Linked DNA regions of Rhinolophus ferrumequinum. The protein of the gene in region 2 interacts with the protein of the main gene of each other region in a pairwise test. Links are inferred from orthologs where the notes say so. Each region holds a gene or a part of one and is shown on either strand. Other genes may lie near its edges.

Region 1 (7,477 bases), on a different chromosome or scaffold from region 2:
TCCGAGAGGGGAACGAGAACGTGTTCTTCTGGGAGATTTTGAATGAGATTGTTTTTGAAAATGTCTATCATTTGTTCCTCTTGGTGGAGAATGTTCTTCGATTCTCATAGGAATGTCACCCTCAACTGTACTACCACCAAACTCAATCCACTGCTGTTCTGAGCCTTGCATTACTTCTATGAATCTTGAACCCATAAAACTTCTGTGACACTTAAGACCTCCTGAAGCATCAATACATGAAGCAAATTTTACTATGGCATCACCATTATTTCGGCCATCATGATGTTTTAAAAAAATTACTCCATCCACACACAAACCAGAGAAAAAGACACGTACATCATCTTCATTTACTAAGTAAGGCAAACCTCGTAGAAACAAATAAGGATTCTCTGCCTTCAATGGCCGTGTCTTTCTTGGCCTTAACTCACCATGTCCTGTACCATTAGTATGAAACCCAGCATCTTGATTAATCGGAGAGCCATATCCAGAATTACTTGCTTCTTCTTTAAAACCCTCAACAAAATTAGATAAGCATCCAACCCCTGATGCCCCAAATCCTGGTCGCTCTCTTCCTATGCGGTCAGTTCTTTTCATTTCAATAGTCTTCTGCATTTCTGCCTTACTGCTAAGAAAGAGCTCTACAGATGAATCCTTGATAAACCCTCCTGAACGACTTATGGCACGTCTTGCATCTTCATCTGTTGCAAAAATAATAAATGCCTCCCCAACTTCCCCTCCAATTATATGCACTCCTCCATCAGGAATAGTCAATCCCGTGAAGAAGTGACGAATATCCACAGGCCCCGCAACAAAAGGAAGCCCCAGTAAACGGATGACTACAGCCATGCTGAGCTCAAACCACAGCAATAATGACCTGCAGACAAAAAGGTACACATAATAGCAAGTCTTATTTTTGAAGAAGCTTATCCCAAACTAAGTTCAATAATTACTTGGTTCCTACCTTCTTCAGAATTTATAAATAAAAACAAAATACATGTTCACAAAAATATTGATTGTATCTAATTCTTAAAAAAAAAAAGGAATAAACTTTCTCCCTTCTACACACCAACTACTTTGAAGATACATTTTCATATCACCTATCCTATATAGTATGAACATGAAAAATACCAAATCTTCTTTGTAAGTCTGAGAAGTGCTGCTGGTTCACAAGACCAAACTATATTCAGACTCACTAAGAAACGTATCTTCTACTGAAACATGAGATAGAACTTTGTGATTTAAAATTTTTACTGTGAATTTTACATATTTATAAAAGCCATCTATGGTCAGTATATAATTTTTGTTCATAATAAACTGCTTACCACTAGTGCATCACTGGCCAGACATAGAGTGCAGAAGCCATGTGTACCTAAGATGTACTATTCTACTTTACATTTTTTTGTCAAGCCTATGTGAAAAGGCTTAAGCTCTGTATAGCTTTTTCTTTTTCTTTTTAATTTCTTGGAGACCTGTTAATTCTGTGAAAGCAACTTAACTGTGGAAAGAAAATGAAAATCCTCAGACTCGTTGATCTTAAACAATGCCAGGTTAGGATAGTCACTTTAAAATTATACCTATTATACCTATTATACCTATTAAAAGCGAAGCAATAAGCAATCACAATTATGGGCATTACAAAGTGGTCTTCTTTGTTCCAAGGGGAAATGAATCATCCTTCAGCAAAATGAAGGTGCAAATTCGGAGTAGACATCTACAAATTATTTAAAAACAAAAAAACTATTAATTGGAAATGGTACAAGGACAGGGATGATGGAAATGTTATATATTTTGATTGGAGTACTGGTTACGTGGATGTATAAATTTATCAAGGCTAAATGAATTCTATCTTTAAGATCTGTGCATTTCACTGTATATAAATTTTACATCCACTTAAAAAAAAAAAAACAACTGTTCTATAAGTAAAATGACAATTTAAAAACACCAAAAAATTCCCAAAAACTTTCTATCATTTCCACCTATGAAAAGACCAAACACCTAACTCATTATTATGCCCAACTCTTGCAATTCTCCTCCATTTCAAACATAAGACCAAATCAAATTAAAAAGGCAACCATTCAAAATGATAACATAAATGAAAACACGAATATTTAAAATTCAAAAACCAATTTTTAAAGCAAAATCGAAACAGTGGCTACCATCTAGATACAATTTTAAGTTCTGGATACAATTTTAAGTTCTACATATACAGCTCACACTTCCAAACATGGAACCAAATCTCCTGACTCCCGTATAATTAAGGCAAATACTAAAATATCCCTAAAATCGAAAATCTCAACTACTTATCTTAAACTCAACTACTACTCCATAAACTCCCACAATGATTACTGTTAAAATTCATCTCAAGGCAAACAGAAAACGTTCAGATAAATATAGAATCTACTTATGCTAATAAGTTTATTCCATTTCAAACAACTGTCCTGGGTTCTACTGAGGAAACCCAATGACAATGTAAAAAAGTGAAACCATAATAAAAACACATTAACTTGGAATATGTGGGGACTATCATTATTAACTACTGAAAAAAACCTCAGTATTTCTTTAAGCAAAGTCACATCTAATACTTTCAGATACCTAAACTAATAATATTTAATGTAGTCTTACCAAGTAATTTTTTAAGATCCGCTAAATTAATTGGAAATGGTACAAGGACAGGGATGATGGAAATGTTATATATTTTGATTGAAGTATTGGTTATGTGGATGTATAAATTTATCAAGGCTAAATGAATTCTATCTTTAAGATCTGTGCATTTCACTGTATATAAATTTTACATGTACTTAAAAAAAAAAAGTGTTCTACAAGAAAAACGACAATTTAAAAACACCAAAAAATTCCCAAAAACTTTCTATCATTTCCACCTATGAGAAGACCAAACACCTAACTCATTATCATGTCCAACTCTCTTGCATAAGTTTATGTTTTTAATGTGCAAATAAATGTTGTTTTAAATTAGTACTTACACATAAGTACCACTCTTCCACAAAGTAGGGTCTGAAGACATATTCTTTGAGGTCTACAAGGTTTATTTTCCTTTGAAAAGGAGTCCCATAGATTAAATTTTTTAAACTACAAGCTAAACTAACACTAAACTAACAAAGGTATCAAGAAATTACTTGGCACATTCCACATCTGAATTATCAATGCCAAGTTGATAATTAAAAATATTGAGATTTACTATTACTATAAAAATGTAATTTAAAATATTAAAAATATTAATGAGATTTACTATTAAAATATTTGCACAGTATGTGTAGGGGTAGGGGACATATGGGAAATCTCTATATCTTCTGCTCAATATTGCTATGAACCTAAAAAACTGCTCTAAAAAAGTATTTTTTTAAAAAAGTCTGCACAGCACCAAAAACAATCGAGTTCAAGCCTAGTTTCCTCAACAAACCAGTATCTACACCAACATTTTAACAAAAACTATAAATGGCTTCTGAAATAGTCGTCCACATTCAAGTTCCAAGACTCCTTCCTATGCAAATTGACTTAGCTCCTTTTTTACTTTTAAATTATTTTAGAATGCAATGTAAGGTGCACATTATTTTTCCCTTCTAAAATTGTTTTTTTTAATTTAAAGGGATTTACCAAGAACATACATCTACAAGAAAAGTTAGGGATGTTTCAAATTCAAAAGATTTCTAGTAATTTATCCTCTCTAACTTAAAAACAGTATTTTAACTAAGTAGTTCCATGTGTACAAATCTCATGAATTCCAATTCAAGCACTCTAAATAAAAAAAAAAAAATTGCTTCTAACTTGCCACAGTTAAATATAACTAATGATTAAATATTTTTGCCCTTTGGATAGTAGGGTAATGTACTATTTATCACTCTACAATAACACAGGTAGGAGACCACCTATGAGAGACCAGCTCAAAATGAGCACTTCTCCTGTGGTTGCCATGTTATTTCCTTAAGCAAATTCCCCAGAAAGTCTATTCTCACAACATTACACAAAAGGCAAAAACACAAAATACTCTCAAGTACTCTGCACTTAAAAATTTTCTACTTATGAATGCAACAAGTATTTTTCACGACTGTGTCAACTTAAAGACAGTAATCAGAACTTCTAACCTAAAAGAAGGAAGTGGGTCCTTAAAAGCTCATTTAACGTCAAGTCACCGAAATTAATAAACTCATTTTAATTTTGCTGTAATTTTATACGATTCATGCCACTTGATCCTTATCACTAAACAGTACAAAATGTGCATCCTCTTTTCAAGCCTGAGAGGGAAACTGGAGGGAGGCTAAATTTAAATAGGTATTATTTCAGACCCATTTGATTTTAGCTAGCCAATAATTCATTTTCCAGACATGGTGAGGGAGAGAAAACTGCGACTATATTTCTTAAAACCCAAAATTATGATGAAGCACATTTAAATTCTAAAAACGCATGAGTTTCCCCTGCAGAAAATAATCTACCCCCAGTCCACAATTATTCTTTATGATGACCTTTAATCCTCTTATAATGTAGATGGTTAAAATGGAAACCAAAGGCATGACGACACAAGAGCCATAGTCCCCAATAGGAACTGTAAATGAAGACGAATCCACACGACACAGGATTTCCCATAACATCCATCATCCTCAAACGGAGATCATCCGAAGGCATCGCTTCTATAGCCCAAAGCCTTTGTCCAGATTCCCAGGGGTCAGAGCTTCCTTTTTTCACGCCTGGCCAAAGTCGCTACGTACGATCCGATGCCGTCGCCAGACCTTCAGCCAAAATCAGCTTTCAAATTAACCTGGACCGCCCAACATCCGTGCCTTTCCGTTACGCCGTCCCAAAGGCAAACATTCCACCCTAACTAGCCACAGGGCGAACTGCTCCCAAATCTAACTGAAACCCTTTGGCCCCTCTCAAGCCCAAAGAGTCGGGCCTTGAGCGCTTTCCTGCCACCAATAACTACGATGACATAGCAAAAAAAAAGAAATACCTATGAAATCCTTCGAGATCTTCACTCTCAAGAAAACTGGGAAGCGAACACACAACAGCACATGGAGGCTGGCGGAAGAGTCGGTGTTTAGCAAGAAACGAGGGTGCCCTAACGGGAGAAGCTACGTTAGCTCCTGGCGCGGCCGCCGGCCCCGCCTTTCCCTGTTCTTCCGCCCCCGTCACCAACTCCTCCCCACCCCCGACGCCCCAAGGGTAACTGATTCGCACTTGGCAATAAACACACACCACTGCTGCCGAGTTGGGCACACAAGGCCAGGGGCAGGTGGCTCTCCTCGTCGCAGCAGCCTCCCCAGAACAGGATGAGAGCCCTCAGAGAGCCTAGAAGATGGCGCCCACTCTCCCCTCCGCCCCGGACAAACGGACGTACACTTTGCCCATGCGCTCTCCAGGCGTAACCCACCACCCCGGCGCCCGGGCCACGTTTACGCACGCGCCCTGACGCTCACAACGCTTCCCGTTGTCAGGGAAAGGAGGTGCCCACTGGCCCCCGACTTTGCTGAGTTTCTGCGCATGCTCAGAGTCCTGCCAACCCGGGAGCCTCACCAAGGAAAGGAGAGATTCCGACACTAAGTTTGGGATCGACCCTTTGCTGTAAAGAGTAGCTGCAATAAATGATTGCCTTAGTATACTGGACAAATGTTTATCATTTCCAGGAGTTAAGGAAAGAGATGTACAGCAGAGAAAAGCTGGCGATTTCTTTGTGTGGTGTAAGCATCTTCTGAAAGGAACTTTGGCTCTAAAAGGCCGCAGAAATGTTAGTTTTACTACCTTAGATATTCCCCAAATACAATTCCAACACCCAGAGGTCTCAATAAATGCATGCTTATTTAATTTCATAGACATTAATAACTTGTTATTCCTACCTTCTGGTGTTTTGAGACATGAGAACAGATAGGCCACTCATGAAAATTGGGAAGTGGAAAGCACAGTTACAGGCATGTTCTGTAATGCCTGTTCTGTAACAGCTGATGAACAACCTTGTGTTTGATTTTATTTTATTACTTACAAAAAAACAAAGCAGCCCACCACTTTTATAACTACTTATGCATTTATAGGTGGATTCAAAGCTCACTAAGAAAACAGAAATCCCATCTTTAAAACAGTAACGGATGAGAAAAAAATGAGTCTTCAATCCCTCTCTCACTGCAAAATACTCATTCTTTAATGATATGATTGTAGGAAAGAACAGGTAGTTTAACAAGTGAATAATAGGTGGTTCCTGGAGTGAGAACCATCATTTACTCACTTGGGCAAATTACTTAGCTTCTCTATGCCTGTTTCCTCATCTGTAAAATGGAGATAATAACAATGTACCTGTTAGGACTGCTGGAAATGTTGAATGACGATATAGATATAGATGTATCTGAGACCATACTCGTGTAAATATTAGTGACTTGTTTCAAATAGTCAAACAGAGGATGTCACATTGTAGAACTAGGCTCATTGATTAGGTAGCATTTACTTTGATTATTCCCCACAGTCTAGGGTTTGGTCCTGGCCAGGCAAGCTCAGGAAACCAAACTGAAAAGCTAACATTTATTGAGGGTTTATTATATGGCAGGCCCTGTGCATTATCTTATTCTTACTACTTTTAGTGGTAGGTACTATTATTTTTCCTACTTTACAAATAAGGGAAACTGAGTCATAAAGGATTACATAGCTTATCCAAGGTTACGTAAATAGTACAAGCCAGGAATTGAACCCTGGTGATTTACTTCCAGAGGATACTGCAGGCATACCTCAGATATTGTGGGGTCTGTTCCAGACACTGCCATAAAGCAAATATCATAATAAAGTGAGTCACATGAATTTTTTGGTTCCCCAGTGCACGTAAAAGTTATATATATACTATATCCTATACTATATCCTATTAGATATGCAATAGCATTATGTCTAAAAGAAAGTACATACCTCAATTAAAAAAGACTTTATTGCTAAGAATGTTAACCATCATCTGAGCCTTCAGTGAGTCATAATCGTTTTGCTGGTGGAGGATATATCCTCAATGTTGTTAGCAGCTGATGGATCAGCGTGGTGGTTGCTAAAGGTTGGGGTGGCTGTGGCAATTTCTTAAAATAAGATAATGAAGTTGGCAGCATCGAATGACTCTTGCTTTCAAGAATGATTTGTCTATAGCATGTGATGCTGTTTGATAACATTTCACCCACAGAACTACTTTCAAAATTGGAGTCAATCCTCTCAAACTCTGCCACTGCTTTATCAACTACGTTTATATAATATTCTAAATCCTTTGTTGTCATTTCAATAATCTTCACAGCATCTTCATGAGGAGTAGATTCTATCTCAATAAACTACTTTCTTTGCTCATCCCTAAAAAAACAACTTCTCATTTGTTAAATTTTTATCACGCAATTGAAGCAATTCAGTCACATCTTCAGGCTCTACTTCTAATTCTAGTTCTCATGCTATAACCACCACATCTGCAGTTACTTCCTCCACTAAAGTCTTGAACCCTTCAAAGTTGTCCATGAGG
Region 2 (7,398 bases):
AGTGCTCAAGAGTGTCCCATTCCAAGACAAGCATCACGCCCACTTCAGCCCATCCTGCCCCTGAAATCTCCCACTATCTGACCTGGCTTGCCCCACACTTGGCCTGGCAAATTCCTAACTCTGAAGGTACCACTCCCTTCCATCCCTTAAACCCAAAGCTATAGTGCACACCTCTCCTGAGAATCCACAGGCACTTACAACCCACTACCCGTCTCTGCCTCTCCTCTTGCAGTAGCTGTCTGGACCTTGGTGAATGGCACCATATACCTACCAGGGTCCCCCAAATTGGAAACCTGGGCATCAGCCTCTATTCTCCCCTTTCTCTTTAATCCTTTCCCACTCTCACAACCAGCCGTGGCACCCATCCAGCTGTTTTGGAATCACCTGTAAACTGTGTGGCCCGCCTTGTGAGACCCTGAGTAAGGAGAAGGCTGCAATCTTATCTGTCCCCTTCATCACAGCTCTCCGAGAGCCTAGCACACAGGTCCTGGCTCACAACAGGTGCCAAGTAAATGTCTGCTGAAAAGAAACCAATCATCTACTGCACTGTTCGCTCTGCCTGGAAGCCCTTTCCTAGCACCCTCCTGGAGCAGTTCTGAGATGGGGACAAGCCTCGGCTGCTTGAGGGGGGTGGGAGTGGGTAACTCACCGTCTTTCATACTCCATATCCTGATAGGGCCTTCGGGGGCTGCTGGGGCCCCTCCTCAGCCGCTGGCTCCGTTTCACTTCCCAGCCACCCCCACAGCTGCCACCATGATCTGCCAGCCTGGGTGATGCCTCCTGCAGGGACTCTGGGGAGAGAGGAAGGAAAAAAGGGGTCAAAGCAGTTGGGGCAGAGAGGGCCTCCTTGAGAAACGCTCCTTGTTAAGGCTCTCTGCTGTCCCTTAGCCTGAGGACGTTGTTTCCCAATTCCTAGTGCTCCTGAGGACCAGAGTGGGAAGGCAGCTGCTCCTCCCCCCCCCGCCCACCCCCCCAGTACTTGGCCAGCTCCTTTCCTTCCCATACAAATGTGAGATTAGAGTCCACTGCCCTAATAGAAAGAGCAAGGCCTTCAGCAGACAGGGAGCATCTTGCAGAGAGAACTGGTGGTGCCACCCATTCTGTGATCAGGGCGTTGCCATCTGAAACTGGTAGACAAGTTCAAGCCCGGAGCTACCTGCCCAGGGGGAGTTCTCGGTGCTGAATGACTTGTTCCAGATTGGGCACATTAGGCATAGAGGAAAGACTTCATAAAAGGGTCCCAGGCACCCACCAGTCTCCTTCCATGGACCCCCAAGGTGTGATTTCATCCTCCCAACAAGATGCTGGCTGCCCCCTATAAGACAGCAGGAGACCATGAAAGGCTTAGGGGGTGAAGGGGCTAACTTGGCAATGAGACAGCTGCCGCCTCCCTGGGCTCCTGGCCAACACAGCTTTGGGCCTCACACGGCAACTGGCTCAGCCCTGAACCCTGTCTCTTATGAGCAGCCAGGTCCCAAGGCAGCTTTCTCCCCAGAGCAAAAGGAGCCCTTTCAGAGGCTTTTCCAAACCATTGTCCTATTCCGTTGGGATGCAAGGGCAGTCATTTCACCTAACCCTCAGGGCTACCATGAGAACTAAGGAATTCCCAAGCCACATGACTTGGCCAGGGGTCGCCACACAGTATCCCAGAATCCTCAGGTCTCGCCCTCTGAACAGGAATCAGGCAAGGCCAGGCAACAACAGCATCTGCCCCACACTAAGTTACCACCACACCTTTCCTCCGTTTATACACACACACCAATTTTCTCTTCCTCCTCAAGCTACAGGGAACCAGAGTTACCTGCTCCCAGATGGGTAAGAGTTAGAACAACCAGGGGCCCCAGCGGATAACAGCTGATACAAAACCCTCAGTAGACTCTGGCAAAGGGGCCAGTCACACATTGGTATCCACAACAGATAGGGACCAAAGTCACAGACACGCGCCCCAAATAACTCTGGGCCAAAATCACAGACAGGAACCCACAATAAGTATGGGTCATAAACACACCCCGAAGCCCCTTTTCAATAGATGAACGTCAGAATCACAGATAGGAACCCCCTTCCCAAAGAACGGGCAATAAGTCATACACATTCCTTGCATTCCCTCCCTACCCAGTTAAGTCGGTTAGGGCCAGTCGCAAGAAGACTCCCTATGGATAAGGACCTCTCCCCATGGATAGGGACCAGAGTTAGACACACACTCCAAGGATAAAGACCAGGGTCATACAAACGTTCTTACTCCTCCTTCCAAGACTAAGGACCCGAGCCACAGAACACCCCCACGAACAGGAAAGTAACAAAGTCACACAGAACAGACAGCACAGCCCCTCTCCTGTGGATAAAAACCATAGCCGCAGACACTCGCCTCCCCACGGATAAAATTCGGTGTCTCAGGCACAGTAAGCCACAGTATCCCACTCCCATCCGTCCCTCCCTTCCCCCAACCCGCGTGCACCTATCCAGTGTCCCGATCGCGCACGCGCCACGGCTCTCAAAAGGGGGAAAATTTTTTTTAAAAAGACAACCCATCCCGGGCTCAGACAGTGCACGCATCCCTCAGTTGCAGCCCGCAGTCCGCCCTCTCTCCTCTTCTACGCACCACCCCCCGCCCCCAGCCCCTTACCTCCGCCCCCACGACCAGCGTCGACGCTCACCTTTTCGGCCCGGGCTGTCAAGGGAGGGCTCCCTGACATCACCTCGGCCCGCTGCCACCGCCACCAACCCTCCCAACTCAGCTGGAGCCGGTCCGCGCGACAACCAAGTCCGAGGCTGGAAACTGAAAGGCGGGGGAGGGAGGAGGGGAGAAGCGCCAATCGCACTGCCCTCCCCGGAAAACTAACTGCCACCTACTCCCCGTCGGCCGCAATCAGCAGCACAAAATGGCGACCAAGAGCAGGGAACCGGCGCTTCGACCACCATCCACCTACCGAGGGAGCGCGCTCAGGCTGGTCGCGTCTATTGGTCACCGTATGCCATCGGCCAGCCCCGACCCGCTCTGATTGGCCAGCATCTGCTACCTCCCCATTCCCTGTGCGAACGCCCACAAGTCGAGAAAAGGAGTAGCTATTGGCCAATCTGGCGAGGCCCGCTTTTTAGAAGCTTGGCTTCCTTCGAAGATGAAAGACAAACGGAAGCTCCGCCTCTTCTCCAAGAGGGCAAGGGAAGTTCCTGTGCGTTTGGCTGGGAACTGCATCCACCCAAATGTCACTGCTTTCTTCTCAGCAAGGGTAGGAGCTGACCACTCAGGCAGAACTGCCATAGCTCCATCGAGAGGATTGGAAAATGGTTGCTCCCTTAAGGCCATGACAGAGGGAGACAAAGAGGGCTGCTCAGCGCCTCACTCGCTTGAAAAAAATCCAGACTCGGGGCCTATTTAGTGCGGTGGGGGCAGAGCGACAACTATCGCGCTGGGGTCAACTGCAGCTGCGCAGAGTCGCACTTCCGTCCCCGCCCCTGAGAGCCTGCAGAACCACCTGTCATGGCGGCTGGGCTGTTAGGTTTGTGCGCTCGCCGCCTTTTGGCAGCAGCCGCGACGCGAGGGCGCCCGGCTGCTTGGCTTCGCTGGGAATCCAGCTCCTCCAGGGCTGTGATCGCCCCGTCCGCTGTGGTGGGAAAGCGGGCACCAGAACCTACTATGCGCTGGCAGGAGGACCCAGATGTAGAGGACGAAAACCTCTATGAGAAGGTGAGAGGGAGGGGAAACGGGACGCCAAAAGGGTCAGTCGGGGACCAGCGGATGGGGCGCCATAGAGGACGTTGCTAGGCGGCTGAGGATTGTGCAGCTGGTGAAATCCTTGAAGACTTGGGAATTTTGCCTAGTTTCTTTTCCTCCTTTGTCTGGTGATATCTTCTGTTCAGGGCCAGAGATTAGATTGGCCTTATGTTGCAAACAAGTACCAAACCTGAAATGGGCAGTGCTCAAAACACTTAGAAGCAATACAGTATAATAATAATACTAAACACTGGTACGACTTTTTTTGGTGTCAGTGTTCTAAACACTTGACATACATTAATTCATCTAAATCCTCAAAACAACCCTATTTCGAAGTAGGTACTCTTACTAAACCCATTGAACAGACGAGAAAATTGAAGCACAGAGATGGGGAGTGGCTTGCCCAAGTTCGCATAACTGAATGTGTGTCAGAACCGGTATTTGAACTTGGATCTACCACGTCTGTTGTGCTCTCTTGATAGCAGAGCCTCTGAAATCAGAATACCTGGGCTAGAATACAGGCACTGGCAGTTACTCACCTGAGTGACCTTGGGCAAGTAACTTAACCCCTTGGTGCCTCAGTTTCTTTGTAAAATGGGCAAAGTATTAGGACACCTTCTAAAAAAATAAAATATTACACCTGCCTTGTGTAATTAAATGAGTTAAAATGCTCCGAACAGCATCTGGCACTTAGTAAGTACTCAGCATTAGAAGGTGTTTATTATTGCCACTTTCCATCTCACTGGGATATTGTGAAGTTTGTATATGTGAAAAGGCCTGGCACATAAGAGGTAATTCATCGATACTAACCTCTGATTGAGGGGCTTGGATATATAGGATACTCATTCATTCATTCATTCTGTAAATATGTATTGAGGGCCTCCTGCGTGCCAGGCACAGTTCAGGGCCCTAGGGGTTCAGCAGCGTGGAAATCATATAAAGCCCTTGCTCTTATATGATAGTGGAGAACACAGAAAATAAATATGTAAAATATTTGACAATAGTAATGTAGAGTATGTAATGGATCATATAACATAATGTGATACAGGCGATCTAGGAGCATGCTACTTTGATAAACTAATAAATGCTAGAAAGAATGTTAAGCAAGATAAGTGGATTGAGAGTGACTTGGGGTTAGGGAGTAATTTTATTAGGTTGAACCATAGGAAATTGCCAATATTCAACCATTTTTGACCTATGAAAATGGCAATTTCCCATAGTTCAACTTAATAGACAAGGTGACTAGGGAATGCCTCCTAAAGGAAGTGATGATGAAGCCAAAACTTGGAATGAAGAGGCAGATCCAGCCATGAAATCTGGGGGGAAAGGCTTTCCAGGCAGAGGGAACAACTAGTGCAAAGGTCCTGTGGTGGGAAGGGCTTGACAAGTCCCAAGAACAGAATGAGAGGAATTTAGGGATGGAGAGGAGATTGGTCCAATTAGAAGCCAGCTTATACAGGGCCAGCATAAGGCTTTGTGGAGCAGCAGGAAACCTCAATGATTTCTCCTTCCGCAGAACCCAGACTCCCATGGCTACGACAAGGATCCTGTTGTGGACGTCTGGAACATGCGCGTCGTCTTCTTCTTTGGCTTCTCCATCGTCTTGGTCCTTGGCAGCACCTTTGTGGCTTATCTGCCTGACTACAGGTCCATGGGGTGTCTAAGAGAATGGGATGGGTGTGGGCAGAGGCAGGGGTGGAGGTTGAAGGGGATTCTGCCAGGAATCCTGTCCTACCCCATTGAGGAATGGGGAGCTAAGGTGGGGATTGGTGTCCAGTGAGGCTCCCTCATGTCTCCCTCGCACGCTGCTGCCTCCAGGATGCAGGAGTGGGCCCGCCGGGAAGCTGAGAGGCTTGTGAAATACCGAGAGGCCAATGGTCTCCCCATCATGGAATCCAACTGCTTTGACCCCAGCAAGATCCAGCTGCCGGAGGATGAGGACTGACTGGTTGCTGAGTGGGGCTCAAGAAACACCACCTCCTCCACCCCCTGCCTGCCATTCTGCCTTCTCCTCAGAGCACCTAATTAAAGGGACTGAAAGTCTGATTGGCTGGTGTTGATTTTGTTGTACTGGGGATGTGGGAGTGGGGGTGTCAGGCCTTAAAAGGGCCACCACCACCTTTTCTGGGTGTTCCAATTATCTATTGCTGTGTAACAAATACCCGAAAACTTAGTGGCTTAATATGACAATTTAGTGTCATCTTTCATGGTCCTGTGATTGACTGTGCTCAGCTAAGTGGTTCTTGAGGTCAGACAGTGGCTGGTACTGAGTCATCTGAAAGCTCTACTGGGATGGACATCCAAGACGGCGTCTTCACTCATGCCTGGCACTTCAGTCTTCTTCCAGGTGGCCTCTCTGGAAAGCTCCCTTCAGGTCCACCCTCCCTACCGCAAGGGTAACCCCTCTCTCGACTTGTAACAACATAGGTTAGTTTCGTCTGGTTTGAAACTTCATACGAGTGCATCCATACATTTTTGTACCTGACTTTTTTAAATATATTTTTTTATTAGTTTCAGGTGTGCAAAACAATGCAATAGTTAGACATTTACACCCCACAAAGTGATAATCCTCCCCAATCGACTACCCGTCTGACACCGTACGTAGCTGTTACAATACCATCTAGTATCTTCCCTATGTTGTACTTCACATCCCGTGACTATATATACCTATATAGTTAGTTCTAGTTGACATTCAGTATTATTCTAGTTCAGCTTCAGGTGTATAGCGCATTGGTCAGGCATCTACATGTCTATGACGTGACCCCCATGGTAAGTCCAGTGCCCATCTGGCACCTTACATGATCTTTACAACATTCCTGACTACATTCCCCACACTGTATTTCACATCCCCGTGACTATTTTCTGACTACCAGTCTGTACTTCCTAATCCCTTCAGCTTCTCCCCCATCCCTACTCCCTCCCATCTAGCAACCATCAGGTTTTCCTCTGTATCTCTGAGTCTATTTCTGTTTCGTTTGCTCGTTTATTCTGTTCTTTAGATTCCACATATAAGTGAGAGCATATGGTATTAGTCTTTCTCAGTCTGACTCATTTCACTTAGTACCTGGCTTCTTTCATTCAGCTTGGTGGTATGAGACAGGTCCACGTTCTTACGTGATCAGTGGTTTGTCCATCCTCATAGCTGTGCTCTTTTCCATTGTATGAACAGATCACACTTCATTTGTTCCAATGTTGATGGGCATTTCGGTAGTTTTCTGTTTGGGGCTATTAAGAATAATTCTTCTGGGCGGCCGGATGGCTCAGTTGGTTAGAGCGCGAGCTCTTAACAGGGTTGCCAGTTCGATTCCCACATGGGCCGGTGAGCTGCGCCCTCCACAACTAGATTGAAGACAACGAGCTGCCACTGAGCTGCCAGTGGGCAGCCGGATGGCTCGGTTGGAACGTGAGCTCTTAACAACAAGGTCACCAGTTCAATTCCCGCATGGGATGGTGGGCTGCGCCCCCTGCAACTAGGTTGAAAACGACGACTGGACTGGAGCTGAGCTGCGCCCTCCACAACTGGATTGAAGGACAATGACTTGACTCGGAGTTCCTGGAAAATACACAGTTACCCAATAAAATTTAAAAATATATATTAAAAAGAAACGAATAATTCTGTAAACATTCTTATATACATCTTTTGATGGATATATATATATGCACTCATTTCTCGGGCATATACCAAG
Region 3 (7,779 bases), on a different chromosome or scaffold from region 2:
TTCTTCAAGCTGCCAAGCATCAAATATTGTTTGGTATACACATCCACTAGTTCTCTCACACCATCTTTGGCCTCCCTTTAGAAAGTCCGTTTTAACAAAAGTGACCAGAGAACACGAACTGTTGAGGCCAATGACTTCTACTGACACAGCAGGGACCACGGGACGAGGCCTGTGTCTTGTCGATGCTAGAGAAGTTATGAAATCTCATTTTCTCAGACCAAATGTAGCTATTCCTGTGGTTAAGGGCTTTGTTCTGCCCATTTCCCCATGGACATAGCAGCACAGTTATCAACCAACGGAAGAGAGCCAACTCCACTCTGACTCCTCCATAAAGGAGCCTTCCTCTTTCCTCGATATCTTGTATTTAAAAAACGAACCATAACTTGTTAAAAGTAGTATAAGTTTGATTCAAAGTAACCGAGGAAAGCAATGGTTTGTAACTAATATATTAAACCTTTCTTTTTATCCGTAAGTGATTATTTGACTTGTATGAAATTAAAAATAAAAAAATTTCCTATTTTTAAACCAATCAGCAGCCACATGTAGGTGACTCCAGTTTACCTGAAGAGACATGGGAAAATGACTATTAAAAAGTATAACTGGTGGGGCCGGCCCGGTGGCTCAGGCGGTTGGAGCTCCATGCTCCTAATTCCGAAGGCTGCCGGTTCGATTCCCACATGGGCCAGTAGGCTCTCAACCACAAGGTTGCTGGTTTGACTCCCGCAGGGGATGGTGGGCAGCGCCCCCGGCGACTAGAAACAGCAGCTGAACCTGGGGCTGCGCTGCACCCTCCACAACTAAGACTGAAAAGACGACAACTTGAAGCAGAACGGCACCCTCCACAACTAAGATTGAAAGGACAACAACTTGACTTGGAAAAAAGTCCTGGAAGTACATACTGTTCCCCAATAAAGTCCTGTTCCCCTTCCCCAATTGAAAAAAAAAAAAACTTAAAAAAGTATAACTGGTGAAGCTGTATATAATGGGTACAAGGTCTTGACACTACTCTATTATCATGTGTTTTAAAAATTCCATGTTAAAAAGGCATAACGTATTAAAAATCTTTTTTAACGTAAACTTATGCCAAGTGAAAAAAATTACATGTATTTCAACCTCCTCTGTTGCCTCAGATTAAAGTCAGGGTCCAAACAGTGCTCTTTTCTCCTTTATTCTTTTTATCCTTTTTGCAGGCCCTTATGGGTACCCCATAAAAGATGCCAATGGGAAAAACCAGCTTACTCAAGTAGAACAGTGTTGAAAACAATCCAGGCAAGATATTAATCAGTTTAAATAGAAACTTTGAAATATTCTTGAGATTTGACCTCAAGAGCTCAGAATCGAACTGTATATGAGATTATTGTTTCAAGGGAAATCACTGTATAATATTCCTTGACATAACACAAAGGGACCAACAAATCCATCTCAGGGTATGTGAGTGGGTCTGTCCCTGCTTTTTTTTTTTAAAGGAGGGTGCAGCTCACAGTGGCCCATGTGGGGATTGAACCAGCAACCTTGGTGTTAGTAGCACCACGCTCTAACCAACTGAGCTAACCAGCTACCCCTATACCTGCTTTTTAACTGGTTTGTCCAAAACCTTTACTTCTCCCCACAACACCCAATTAGATTCATCAATAAAATGTATTAAACCAAAATGCCTATGGGCTTGAGACTGGACTTAAGCTACTTATCAAAGGAAAATGCAAAACAATTGTAATGGAGCTAAAATTAAACGTTAAAGTATCTTTTACAGTGTGACTTCGCACTATCTTATGGGAGAGGGGACTGACTACATTTTTCCAGCCGCAGTTTGACAGAATCACAAAGCAACAGGTATCAACCTTGTCTTCATGAAAACCACAGCAAACGTATTTCTGATTTTTAAGTGGTTAGTTTTTGAGGAGACAAACATCCAACTCTGGCTTCCTGGGGCAGCAAGTTCCACAGGTTGATTCACCATTCTATTAAACCTGATTTTTATTTGCTCTTAAATGAAAGCCTTTAAAATTAAGCCTGGAGGCTTATAGTAACATAAAGCGGAATGGTCAGAAGTCTTGAAAATCTGTACTAGAGGAACAATTTTAGACCCGATGAGGCGTGTTCAGGCCTAGCAAATCCTCAAGGGCTAGCTAGCATAGCTTGGAGCCACTGCAAGTATGCTGGAAGTGATTCCTTGGCTGATCCTGGAAAACCCCAATACTCCCGATGACCCCTCACCTGATTGAACTCCTCGTCGGCATATATATCAATCAAGTCCACTCCTTCTGACATGGCTCCGGAAGGCAGATCGCGGGCCCGGAGAACGGACAAAGTAAGAAAGATGCCACTGCGGAGAGGCAAGAGTTAGATGGCATGAAGGTCCCGGGTTGGAAGGAGGGCAATGGTCGCCAACCTCCCGTCTCCAGAGACGCAGCCTCCCCGGCAGCCCAAGCTCTGCCCCACCCGCTCCGCCCCGCCCCCGGCCTCGCGCCGCCCCTCGCGCTCCCAGGCCGCCGGGGCTCGCGGGGCTCGCTGCCCATCACCCTCGGGCCCGACCCGAGCTACGCCGCTGGGGCCGTGGCGCGACGGGGAACCCCAGGCCTCTGCACCTAGGGGCCCTCGCACAGCGCCGTTAAGAACGCCCGAGGCGAAGCCCGCAGCCCCAGCCCAACGCACCTGCCTAGGCCCCGGGGCGGCCCCGGCTAGAATCCCCGCGAGTCCCGGAGATCCTGTTCCACATCCAAGCCCAGTCCTCGCCCCCAGCTAGGCCCGCCCCGCTCCCTCCCCACAGACCCGGCCCAGCGCCCTCGGCCCCCTCCCACAAAGGCCCGCGCCAACCTCCGCCCGCCGACTCCGGCTGCCCCAAACTCAACCGACCCCCTCCCCGCCTCAGCGCCGGCCCCGAGCCCTCTTCCGGCCCAGCCGGCCCCCGGCCGCGCGCCCCCGTTACCGGGAATATGGCGGCGGAGGCGGCGAGTCCGAACTAGGCCCGAAGCGCGCGAACCGCTCTCGGCCCCCCAGGTCCCGCCTTCCCCCCTACCCCGCCACTGGCGTCACACGCAAAGCCACTTCCGCCCTACGCAGGCACGCATCTTCCGGCTTAGGGCGAATCTTCCGCAGGGTCGGCGTCCGGGAGGTCCCGGAAGTGGCTGGGCCGCAGGCTTCCGGTACAGGTCAGGAAAAATGGCAGTGGCCATCGTATTCCCGGCTCTGGCACGGGTGAGAATGCATGTCGTAGGGTCCTGGGCGGGCCACAGTGGGAACTGAGTCTCTTCTTCTTCCGCAGTCCTGGAGACCGCGAGGAGAGGTCCAACTGCCTGACAGCCTAAGGCAAGGACAGACCCAAGGAGAGGTCGAGCTTGCAAATTAGGAGATTCAAGTCGCTGTCACCCTTTTCCGGAACCCACTAGCTGCCTGTATTGTGGTATCGTGGAACGATCAGTCTTCCTGTAAGACCCAATACGGATTTCACCTGTTTCCCGGGTGAAGCTGGCCCCACCGCCTCTGGGCGCCTCTTCTGTCTGATTTTAAGTCAGCTTCCTCTTAAATCTTCTCTAATACCTATCGTGAGTTCACATCGCATCATAAGATCTTTCTTTCTTTTCCTTTTTTCTTAAATGTAGGTGTTTACCACTGTAAACTTTTCTTACTATTGCTTTTTGCTGCTTCTCATGCTATTTTGCATGTTGTGTCTATTGTCTCAAGATATTTTCTAATTTCCCTTTTGATTTCTTCTTTGGTTCATTTGAACCATTGGTTGTTTGAGAGCGTGTTGTTTTATTTTCACATATTTGTGAATTTTCCAATTTGCCTTCTGCTGTTGATTTCTAGTTTTCATTCCGTTGTAGTCAGAAAAGATCTCATACAATTTCAATATTCTTAAACTTGTTTTATAACCTAACGTGATCTATCCTGGAGGATGTTCACAGTGTGCTTGAGAATAATGTATATTCTCGCTGCTGTTGGGTGGAATGTTCTGTATATATCTGTTTGGTTCATTGGATCTGTAGTGTTGTTCAAGTTCTCTATTTACTTACTGATCTTCTGTCTGGATGTTCTATCCATTATTGAAAGTGGGGCATTGAAATCTATTATTGTGTTGCTATTTCTTTCTTCAGTTCTGTCAGTGTTTGCTTCATATATTTGGGTGCTCTGATATTGGTTACATGTATATTTATAATTGTTATATCTTCCTGGTGGATTGACCCTTTTATTATTACATAATATCCTTCTTTATCTCTTGTAACAGTTTTTGATTGAAAGCCTGATATGAGTAGAGGCCTCTGCTCACTTTTGGTTACCATTTGCATGGAATATCTTTTTTTCATTCTTTCACTTTCAACTTATGTGTTGCCTTACATCTCAAGTGAGTCTCTTTTAACAGCATATACTTGAGTCTTGTTTTTTTTGTTGTTTGTTTTTTTGTTTTTTTTTTTTGTCTATTGAGTCACTCTCTATTTTGGTTGGGGAGTTTAATATATTTACATTTAAAATAATTACTGGTAGGAAAGGACTTACTGTTGCCATTTTGTTAAATATTTCCTTCATGTCTTGGAGCCTGTGTCCCTCTTTTCCTCCCTTGATATCATCTTTGGTGTTTCGTTGATTTTTTTTTTTTTTTTTGGTAGAAGCATACTTTGATTCCTTTCTGACTTTCTATTGTGTATCTTGTATAGGTATTTCCTTTGTGGTTACTGTGGGGCTTACATACAACATAATAACTATTTTAAGCTGATAACAGTTTAACTTCAATCTCATACAAAAACTCTGCTCTTTTACTCCTTCTCACTTTATGTTATTGATGTCACAATTGCATATTTTTATATTGTGTATCCATTAACATATTTTATAGGTCTTTAAAAAAAGTCTTTGTGTTTTAACTTCTATACCAGAATTAAAAGTGATTTATGCACCATTGTTACAATATTACGATATTCTGTATTTGTCATATTTACCTTTACCAGTGAGCTTTATGCTTTTATATGCTTTTGTGTTACTGTCTAATATGCTTTAGGTCCTTTGGGCTTCTTGAATTTTAATGTCCATTCATTTCCCTGGATTTGGGAAGTTTTGGTCCATTATTTCTTCAAATGAGCTTTCTGCTCCTTTCTCTCTCTTCTTCTGGGACTCCCATAATGTGTGTAGTGTACGCTTGATGATGTCCCATAAGTCTCTTGGGTGTATTCACTGTTTTTCATTATTTTTTCTTTTCTTTCTTCTGATGGGTAATTTCAAATGACTTGTCTTAGAGTTCACTCATTCTTTCTTCTGCTTGATCAAGTCTGCTGTTTAACCCCGATAGTGAATTTTTAAATTCAGTTATTGTATCCTTCAGTTCTACATTTTCCATTGGGTTCTTTTTAATATTTATCTTTATTGATATTTTCATTTTGTTCATGCATTGTTTTTCTGACCTCATTGAACATCTTGATGGCAGTTATTTTGAATTCTTTGTCAGGTAATTCATATACCTCTGTTTCTTTAGGGTCGATTTCTGGAGATTTGTTTTGTTCCTTTGATTAGGCCATGTTTCCTTGTTTCTTTGTGTCCTGTACAATTTTTTGTTGGGATCCACGCATTTGATAAAACAGCCAACTCTCCTAGTTTTTTTGGACTGGCTTTATTCAAAGAAAGACCATCACCAGGCAGCCCTGCTAGAGATTCTGGGGGCTTCCCAATACTTTCGAGTAGATATGTCTTCTCTGGATTTGTGCATGTCAATTCCTAATTAGAGGAATTTGCTGGCTTCTTTTGTCGGGAGCTCATAAGTTCTTACTCCTTCTGGTGTCTGTACTACTGCAGGTTCTCAAGGTGCCACAAGCCTTCCAGCTCTGTTCTCAGCCCCCAGGCTTCTATAGTGTCCCGAGTATATTGTTGTGGAGTTGGTGTCTCTGTGGGTGAAGGAGAATGTGGTGCTTCCTGCTCTGTCATCTTGCTTATATCACCACCTTCTCATCACATCTTGATAGTTTTTGACTTTCTCTAGGAGTCCTTGGGGGATTAGGATCCATGCCATCACTGTATGCTCAGATTTTGACACAGGCTAGTGACTAGAATACAAACCATACTGTAAAAATTTTAAGGGACTGCAAAGGAAAGAGAAAATATTTCTGCTGGATAATTTCTGGAAGGGCACTGATTAAGAACACGTTTGTAATTATAGCTCGGTTTCGATCCTAACTGCAGTTACTATTTGGATGACAAGTTTTTTAACTTCCCTGAGCTTCAACTTCCTAAACTGTAGGGTGGAGTCAGTATCAGCATAAGTTCTTACAGACTAAATGAGATTGAATGTATTTAGCATCTAATGTGTTGAGTGAATGACAAATGTTATTTGTTGTTGTTAAAAAGATGTTTGTGCTTTGTTTCAGATGCTTGCTCTGTCCAGGCGCCACCCAGTGTCTCCTTTGCTCAGCATGACATCATTCAGACACTTCTGCAGAGGTGACAGCCCAACAGATTCCCAAAAAGATATGATTGAAATCCCTTTGCCTCCATGGCAGGAGCGAACTGATGAATCCATAGAAACCAAAAGAGCCCGCCTGCTCTATGAGAGCAGAAAGAGGGGAATGCTGGAAAACTGCATTCTGCTTAGGTAGGGGACAGGGGTGTTGGTGTCACTTCTCTTTGACTAGAGACAGCATTTCAACTTCTTTCTCTTTCTTGTTTTTAGCCTCTTTGCTAAAGAATATCTGCACCACATGACAGAGAAACAGCTGAACCTCTACGATCGCCTGATTAATGAGCCTAGCAATGACTGGGATATTTACTACTGGGCTACAGGTACTGGGCATGATAAGCAGCATAATGGGAAAAGTAGGATGACTTGGGCCTATTTTGAGTCTAAAATTATATTCTAGGCAATTTTTTTCTTTTATTAATACAATAGACCCTTAACCCAAACACTCATCAAATTTTTACAAAGTGTGCAAAATTTGTTTTATTAAGGTTCTTTGTTTGCAAGCAAGAGAAACCTATTCTGTGTAACTTGAGCAAAAAGGGAATTTACTGAAATTGTACGGGAAGCTCACAGTCTCGGAGAGAAGGTTGAAGAAAAACTAGGCTGGGAATAGAGTGGAACCCGTTATAGACAGCTCTATAGTCTGCAGAGCAAGAGTTCTTCAGTAGTCTCATTCTGACACTGCCTTTGAGGAATGAATATTCACTGTGTATAGTTAGCATTAGCTTTGGCTGTGAGTAACAAAAAAATCTAAGACAATAATGGCTTAAGCAAGACAAAACTGTATTTCTCTTTCTCATAATAGAAGTCCAGGGTAGGCATATAGAGGGGTTTCAAAAACCTTGCTGCTCCTTCATCCTCAGCATGTGTCGTCCAACTCCTGGTCCAAGATGTCTGCTAAAGCCCCATCTGCCATATCCATATTTCAGCCAAGAAAAAAGTGTATAGAAAAGCACACCCTATTCTTTATGGATCCTTCTCAGGAAGTTAAACATCATACTTCCACTCATTTCCCACTAGCTACGGTTTAGTCACATGGCTACACCTCACCATAAAGAAGAAATAATATAGTCTATTCTAGGTGTCTAAATTGAAGATTCTGTTATTAAGGAAAAATGAGAGAATGGATAGTAGGGGATAGCTCATTATTTCTGTCACACTCTGGGTCTTCTGTTTTTGTGTTTCCACTCAATATCTGTATGATAAAGTAGAAGCCATTCTGTAGGTTCCAACTATAAAATGTGGTAGTGGATTGTGCTTTTGGGATTGTATCTAAGAAGTTGCCTGATCTAAAGTCACAAAGATTTTTTTCTATTTTGTTCTAGGAATTTTGTAGTTTTAGA

Evidence for each region.
Region 1: the proteins of RBM10 (region 2) and RBM12B interact in a two-hybrid assay, tested with the Homo sapiens proteins (3 studies listed by BioGRID). The link is inferred for Rhinolophus ferrumequinum from reciprocal best matches to the Homo sapiens genes RBM10 and RBM12B.
Region 3: the proteins of RBM10 (region 2) and CPSF7 interact in binary tests that used the Homo sapiens proteins (3 or more experiments, as listed by UniProt). The two-hybrid records come from large-scale screens. The link is inferred for Rhinolophus ferrumequinum from reciprocal best matches to the Homo sapiens genes RBM10 and CPSF7.

The regions. Positions count from the first base shown.
Region 1 is NC_046297.1:34,817,904-34,825,380, forward strand, and holds the start of RBM12B (RNA-binding protein 12B), read right to left. Parts: upstream 3,066-7,477; 5' UTR 3,023-3,065; coding exon 2,982-3,022; intron 875-2,981; coding exon 1-874.
Region 2 is NC_046284.1:86,743,214-86,750,611, forward strand, and holds the start of RBM10 (RNA-binding protein 10), read right to left. Parts: upstream 3,007-7,398; 5' UTR 2,694-3,006; coding exon 2,624-2,693; intron 792-2,623; coding exon 650-791; intron 1-649. Other genes in the region: NDUFB11 (NADH dehydrogenase [ubiquinone] 1 beta subcomplex subunit 11, mitochondrial), read left to right, coding at 3,479-3,685, 5,229-5,359, 5,531-5,657. UniProt on the Homo sapiens protein: Binds to ssRNA containing the consensus sequence 5'-AGGUAA-3'. May be involved in post-transcriptional processing, most probably in mRNA splicing. Binds to RNA homopolymers, with a preference for poly(G) and poly(U) and little for poly(A).
Region 3 is NC_046294.1:9,493,727-9,501,505, reverse strand, and holds the start of CPSF7 (cleavage and polyadenylation specificity factor subunit 7), read right to left. Parts: upstream 3,051-7,779; 5' UTR 2,927-3,050; exon of another isoform or gene 2,815-2,926; intron 2,726-2,814; coding exon of another isoform or gene 2,544-2,725; intron 2,542-2,543; coding exon of another isoform or gene 2,415-2,541; intron 2,414-2,414; coding exon of another isoform or gene 2,378-2,413; exon of another isoform or gene 2,342-2,377; intron 2,324-2,341; 5' UTR 2,269-2,323; coding exon 2,215-2,268; intron 1-2,214.